Linked DNA regions of Nothobranchius furzeri. The protein of the gene in region 2 purifies or fractionates together with the protein of the main gene of each other region. This does not show direct contact. Links are inferred from orthologs where the notes say so. Each region holds a gene or a part of one and is shown on either strand. Other genes may lie near its edges. The genes, in order: fkbp5 and mos.

The links.
Region 1: the proteins of mos (region 2) and fkbp5 purify together in Homo sapiens (affinity purification with mass spectrometry; 3 studies listed by BioGRID and IntAct, counting the BioPlex papers as one, with this or other methods). This does not show direct contact. The link is inferred for Nothobranchius furzeri from reciprocal best matches to the Homo sapiens genes MOS and FKBP5.

The regions. Positions count from the first base shown.
Region 1 is NC_091743.1:66,795,494-66,799,320, forward strand, and holds part of fkbp5 (peptidyl-prolyl cis-trans isomerase FKBP5), read right to left. Parts: intron 3,107-3,827; coding exon 2,992-3,106; intron 2,902-2,991; coding exon 2,745-2,901; intron 1,998-2,744; coding exon 1,907-1,997; intron 1,730-1,906; coding exon 1,646-1,729; intron 1,562-1,645; coding exon 1,376-1,561; intron 1,292-1,375; coding exon 1,052-1,291; intron 1-1,051. UniProt on the Homo sapiens protein: Immunophilin protein with PPIase and co-chaperone activities. Component of unligated steroid receptors heterocomplexes through interaction with heat-shock protein 90 (HSP90).
Region 2 is NC_091747.1:36,176,978-36,180,630, reverse strand, and holds mos (proto-oncogene serine/threonine-protein kinase mos), read right to left. Parts: upstream 2,301-3,653; 5' UTR 2,147-2,300; coding exon 1,118-2,146; 3' UTR 1,079-1,117; intron 974-1,078; 3' UTR 797-973; downstream 1-796.

The DNA.
Region 1 (3,827 bases), on a different chromosome or scaffold from region 2:
TTCTGATAACATTTCTTATTGCTGCATTTTCACTTAAATGTTTAATCTTGCCACTAGAGGGCAGTATAATGTTTAACAAAGCATTCACAGAAAGGCTGGACAAATTCAGATTGAAATCAAAACAATTAAATATGTGTGTATATATATATATATATATATATATATATATATATATATATATATATATATATATATATATATATACATATAGTGCAGCCAGAATTTATACATTTCAGATCATTATTGTTATTTCAACTGGAAGCATGATTTAATAGACTAATCATAACTTTCTTTTTTTTCTTCTGCTTCTTCTTTTAAAGTAGTTAAAGGTGTGGGTCACTCGTTTAATCAATACATTTGTAGTGGTCTTTAGTAGGAATGAATGCCTTGTAAGTCGTTCTCATTGGGGGCAATGCTAATTTATTATCTCCACAAATAGCACAAGACTGTAGGAGTTCTGCTGTGTGGTGGAGTTGCTAATGCTGAAGTTAGCTTAAACTAGCCGAGACGTTCTCTGCTATTTCCTGGATGCTAAAGCAACAACAGCCTTCCATGTCGTGAGTCAAAGACGGAGTCCATGAATGCTAATTGATGTAATGTGAAGTAGATCTGTCAGGCTTTTCAAATCCTAACGTTTTACCATCTATTTTCTATCAGAAGCTACTGCACAAGATTAGTGTAGGAGACTATCTTCATGTTAAGCCTGCATGAAAAACTCAGAGTGATCGATTCTAATCAGAAATAATCGTTAAAAAATGGTTTTCGCTGTTCCACAACTTTAAATTTGAAATTAGCAGACCGAGTGTGAGCCCATCCAAGTAAGATTCTTTAAATGTTTGGTTTCGTTCAGTTTTAAAAATAAGTTATGAAAAATTATTTGAATTACAATTTTTAAACATCAGTTTCAACGGCAACACTCAGTCAGTGTTGGCTCCTATTACGTTAGGAGTCAGTTAAGACTTAAAAGGTTTTAAACGTTAGTGGGAAAGTGTAACTAAACAAAGGAAAGCAAAGGGAAGGGAAAAATATGTCTGAGTGAGTGTTTACAGACCTTTGAGTCACGCTCTGCAAATTTCTGGAACATGTTAGCATAGATCATTTTCTCCTGGGCTTGATGTTCCTTCATTTTGTTCTGGCATTTGGAAATTTGACCACGAGCTGCTCGATTCGACGGGTTGACTTCCAGCACTCTTTGAAAGTCCAACAAGGCTAGGTTGTACTCGTTGCGGAGGAGCCGGGCCTCCCCACGGCGATACAGAGCCTTCTCATTGCTCGCATCCTGTTCAATTACCTTAAACACACAAACACACAGTATGAGAAGGAACTCAGCTGCTGCAGGAGGTGGTGATCTAATCATCAGGGTCACGCAGCTCACCTTGTTACAGTTGTCCACCACTTGTGAGAACTCCTTTAGCCGAAGGAAACACAACGCTAAATTAAGATGAGCCGTCATAACGTAGTCCTGGATCTTCTTGTATTGCTCCATTCCAGAGCCACACTCCAACTCCAGCCAGGAAATGATGCGCTGGTACTGGATGACCGCCTGGTGGTACCGTCCTGCCTGATTATAGATTTTCAAAATAAGTTAGGATTATTTAGATGAGAAGCAGAATGATTCATTTGAACACAATCACAGATACGTTACCTTAACATACTGATTCCCTTTGCTTTTCACCGCAGCAGTCAATTCCAGCTTTTCACTCAAGTCCATTTCCCAGGACTCTTTAGCCTTTAAAATAAAACAGCAAACATTAATTTAGGGTTTTGATGTTTGTAGGTAGTAGGTTTGATATGTGCTTAAATGTGTCTAAAATGAGACTTGAACCCAAAATACCATGCATATGTTTTGTATTGTATCTGGTAAATAAAGGTTTTCTTTGTTCAATCAAAGAAAATGGAAACTCACCCTAGTGAAGTCTTTAAGAGTAACTTCATATGCAATTTCTTTGTCTGGTCCAATTTTGAACTCCGGTTTACCTTCGTTTCCAAAGCCATACCTGTAAAAAGAAAAGCATGTCAATAATGCTTAAGCATTAAAGGAGTCGATTACTTGTTTAATCAATACAACTAGCATAAATAACGAGCTTCGTCTGTTACGCTGCATGCTAGAAGAGTGGTGGACTTCAGGCATTTTAGCAAATGAGTCAGAGATGAGTCCTTTAACCTGTTTTACTGATGCACAAGAATCCACAGTTCTTATACAACACCTCTACCTCAGATTTAACCTGTAAATACTAAGTGGAAAATGTTGCAGTTTCACAAAAAAAAAAAATCTCGAAGTCCGAACAATAGCTGTGTTCTCGTTACTCCTGAACTCTTCAATCAAACATACTCTCTCCCTGGGAAGCATTAAGGAAAGCTTCAGATTTCCATTGAAGAAATCAAAAACTATATGCTTTCCTACCAATAGGCATTTTGTTGCATTCTTAAATTTTATTTTGCAGTACTTAAACCTTATTGGAAATGCAAAAGTGTTTCTTTTCACAAAATTTAGTTACTTCGATGAGAAAAAAAAACATATCAATTATTAATCTGCAAACAACTTTGTGACGTCGCTATAAAAAACATTTTCATTTTGCAGAAACAGCTGCTGAAATCCTTTGTAAATGGCATGAGATGAAAACAACAAACTAAAATTATTATTATTGTATGACAGATTCAAGCTGTGGTTAATGAAAGCCCCCTCAGAATGACTCATGCAAATGACACAGATGGCATTTTTGAAGGATTTGTAAGAAACTTACTTTGGTTTTAACTGAAGTAAACAGCACTCTCCTTTTTGCATCTTGTCCATAGCTCGGTCCACCCCCAAAGGAATGCCTTTATCTTCACCTTGACCAACAGTAAAGCTAACGTCTCGGCAGTCAAACAACCGGTCCCCACATCGTCCCTCCACGTGAACTGCAGGACAACAAGATGCAATTTAACCTCCGATTTATGTTTTATATCAAACCAAAACAATTATGCCTTTCAAACTAATTGTGTCACTACCATCGACATTTGCTCCATCGTTGGGGTTACTGTAACCGTCACCTTTGACCTTTATTCTCCTGATGATGCCGCCATCCTCTGACAGCACCTCTCCTTCAAAGTTAAGCAGCTCCATCTGTTAGAAAAACAAAAATTCTTTATAGATCATAAAGCTAAAGCAGAAAACAAAATATGTGCAGAATTCAACACATGTAGGAGGAAATAATAAAAAAGTGAGAGACGTGTTAATAAAAAATTGTGATATAATGATGTCTGCTGGAGAAGTGTGAAACTGGATGTGCATCGTTTATGCACTGAAACCCGACAGAATGTGTGCACGAACACAGCAAAAATCCTGCAAGTTACTTTCGTTATTTTTTCTTGCATTTTTTAGTTTAAATGAAATTTTAAAAGATGCTTATTTGACTGTTGCTGAATCTGTTATTTTTACTAATGCAAAATCAGATAAACAGTATTTTTGAGCATATCCTTGACAAAAAGAAGCAGGGCCTGCGGTGTTGCTAAGCTACTTCTTCCTAAGTATTGAAATGTCAAATTATCTCTAAATTTGCTGGACTGTGATAAAAGTTTGTATCCATTTTAAAATGTCACCACAACTTTCGAACTTCATCCCCAGAGCTGAGCACTCTTGCTGCTGTGGTTTTGCAAAAACAGATTAATTAGTCCAGTTTAGCTAATTTAGTTTTCTCTGAGAAAAATTACCTAAGAGGCCTTTTTCTAGTCATTCCTTACGCTGATATTTAATTTTCTCTTTGTTTATGCCACAATTTACAGATTGTTTAAACCTTAAAGAGTATGATATGCTTTAGTTTATGTCTCTAAATATAAATATGTGA
Region 2 (3,653 bases):
TTCCCAGTTTCTTCACTAATCTAGACGCGGTGAGTCCTCCTGAGAGCATTCAAAAGGTCTTGATCCAAAGTTTGCCTCTTGCAGTCCCAGTGGGGTTTGATGGACAATGTGTGCGCTGTTTCAACTTTTGCATGCCTTTCTCGATGTTTGTTAACTAATCCTGTTGCAGCTGATCAGTGGTGGTTGTCATGTTTTTTCTTCTGTTTTTCAACCCAGCCACATTCCTAGCAGAGTCCAATGGACCCCACTTGTGTTTTTGTTATAGTTTTGAGGAGTGAGCACCACCTTACTCCTGCCACATGGAACCCCAAGGGATAAACCATCAACCCTGCTTAACCATCCTCTGTCGTGGAAGGGTCAGCCAATAGGACAGCAGGAGGGTTAAAGGTTAAACACACTAACATTTCTTGTTCTGGAAAGAGGAGGACAATGTGTCCCTCTGGCCCTCCCTGCTGCCAACATGTCCCAATGCACAGACATCAAGACAATATAGTGTCACTCACACACTACATGCGTTTTGTTTCCAACACCACTTGGAATACAGTGTGACCCCAAAGCGTGCACCAAGTTTTCAGTCTGATGTCACATGAAATGTGTCTATGGGCCAGCGGTGCCAGTGTCATTTTAGATTTTTTACTCTATATATCAACATCCCATAGAAACCTGTTTTATTGCTGATTTTGGTTAAAGAAAAAAATCCCATGAGATTTTTGATATGAACACATTTTAACCTCTTGAGTCCAAAATTTGGAAGACTGAAGCAGACAGCTGAAGTTTTATATGACATGGTCTGAACCCAGAGACTAAAGGCTGCTTTTATTAGGCTGTGAAGTTATTTTCTCTAGAGTATTTCATTTTATTCACATGTATAAAACAATCACATAAAATCATTCTTGCATTTAAATAGAAACCTATAGGGTGGGGGTGTATCCACAGCCCACGTGCACCCAGCAAGTCCACCACGAGCAGCAACCTGGAACCAAATTAAAACCAAACACGAAACCTTTAAAATGATTTTAATGAAATCAAACAAATCTTACAACATTTATTAAGCCAAGAATGAAAACTCAGAGTTCACCTGAGAGCCAGTGCTAGTCTGGGTTCTGTGGTTTGGACATTAAAACCCGCTGTGTGGACCCAGCTGCTGACCCAGATGTTCCAGCTGATCCAGCAGCTCAGAGGCGCTCGGTCTGAGGCGCGTGTCTGCGCTCCAGCAGCGTCCGAGCAGCGTTGCGCACAGCCGCCCCCAGTCGGACCTGAACACCGAGTGGCTCTGGACAGACGGGCGCAGACCGTGCGCCACCACCGAGTACATGATGTGCTGCCGGTCTCCGGTGTAGGGCGGCTCGCGGGTCAGCAGCTGCCACAATGTGATCCCGAACGAGAAGATGTCCACTTTGGAGGAGACCGGTTCTCCTCGGAGCAGCTCCGGGGCTCGGTGCGTGTAGGTTCCACACACGTGGCTCAAATAAGGACTGATGAGTTCGGGATCCCGGTCCAGTTTCAGGGAACAGCCGAAGTCCGCTATCTTGCACACTTCCGTCCGGGACACGAGCACGTTGGCCGGTTTGATGTCCAGGTGCACGACACCGTGGGAGTGCAGGAACCGCAACCCGTCCGCGATGTCCGCCGAGAACTTCAGAGAGCGGTTCGGCTCCAGCAGCTCCGAACTTCCGTAGATGATCTGCTGCAGGTTCCGGCTGCCCACGAACTCCATCAGGATGGTTCCGATGCTGTCCTCCACCTCAAAGTCTGCGGGCACGCACGTGGTGGCCGCGAGGACGCGCACGATGTTCTTGTGGGTCAGGTGCGCAGCGTTCAGTTCGGCCCAGAAACTTTGCCGAGACGCCAGCTGGTTCTTTGAGCTCTTCTTCACCTTCTTTAGAGCCACAGTCTCTCCCAGGTACTCCGCCTTATAGACGGAACCGAACCCACCAGAACCCACCGGCACCACGGAGCGCAGCTGGTCCCAGTGGATCACGGTGGACCAGAACCGGCTGGTGACTCTGCCGTGCGGCCGCTGAGCCGGGACCTGTAAGGTGGACCCACGTCCCGGTTGGGCCAGCGGGCTGCTGCAGGTTCCGATGTCCACGCACGGGTACAGGTCCTTGGGTAGGAGGCGCGTGACTGGGATGGGTGAAGGCATGCCGAGCGAGCGAACACAGGTGCGTCCACGTGCACAGGTGAGTTGCCGCGGTGCGTGACGGGATGCTGCAATGCATCATGGTTGGAACTCTTGTAGGTCCTCGAAGAGGGTCTAGAACCGCGGTCAGAACCGAACTGAGAGGAACCACAAATATTCCAGTTTTAAAAGGTTCTTGTTCTGATCATCAGACTGATGCATAAAAGCATGTCAAAGGTCATGAGCCCGACCTGCACGAGCTCTGGTGAAAACACCCAGGCTCAGTTCTTCACCTACAACAATAATAACAAAGAAACTGAGATATTCTGGAGGGTTCTACTGGAGAACATCTATTGAATTACCATCAATCAGATTAAACATCCATAAAACACCAGCCCACACACAGTCCTGTTGGTTCTGATCCAGAACCGAAACGTTTAGTGAAGAAGGAAGACCAGGAGAGAGTGTGTGTTAGATGTTTCTCTCTTTATTGAGTCTCACGACAGAATCAAAACACTGGAGTCTCATAGCAGCGAGGTGTGTGAGTGAAATCAGGTTATTCTGCAGAGCAATAAATAATCTGTTTCTTTGGATGAACTTCAAACAAAACAACAGCTGCAGCTTAATATCCATTTTATACAACCTCTACACATGTTTGTGATTTATATCGTCGATACGTAGAAAAATACAACAGTAGTTTGTGAAGTATAGAGAAAAGTTGAGATTTAAAAACCAACAGGCTTTGAAGCGGTTTCTGTCTGGGGAGGGGCGTTTCAGGCACGTCTGCAGAAGGACTTCAAAAGTCACAGTACAATAAAAAGACTTTATATAACTATATAAATATGGATGTATACAAACAGATGTAAGTATGTATTAGAAAGAACCGGAGCAAAGTACAAACATTGCATTTAAAGACCAGGAATGTCTGTAGCACCTTAAAGAGCTCCAGACTCACGTAGCAGCATTTCCAATCCTAATGCAGTGTTTCTAACCAACACATTCAGTAAGGTTGACCGGTACCGCTCAAGCTCACAGGCCTAGAACGGGTCTGGATCACCAGAACAGGGTTGGATTCAGTCCAGAGCTACAATCAGTTAGCATTACGGTTCTGAACATGTTCAGGAAACGTCTGTTAGTGAAAATGTCATTTGTTTCATTAGGTTCTAATGTGTAAAATGTCAGATGTGTGAGCAAAACCCACAGCGTTAAATAAATATAACGCTGTTGATCACCAGTGGGTGGGTTTACTCCAGGGGACCAATAGTTTTATTCAACCTAGAAAAATAAATGTTTAGATGCTTTTTCTCGTTAAAAAAAAACTCTTGATAAAGCAGAACTGTTGTGCAAGTAAAGCAAAAATTACACTCTGATAAGAAAACACTGCCAAAACGGTACCTGTAAAAATAAAACACTTTATATAGTATTTACATATAACTGTTCTCTACAATAGCTAAATATATCATCTATACATTTGTGGTAAGGGTTTAGAACAGAGGCTACTGGAGGAACTGAGGTGTTCTATTTACAAAAA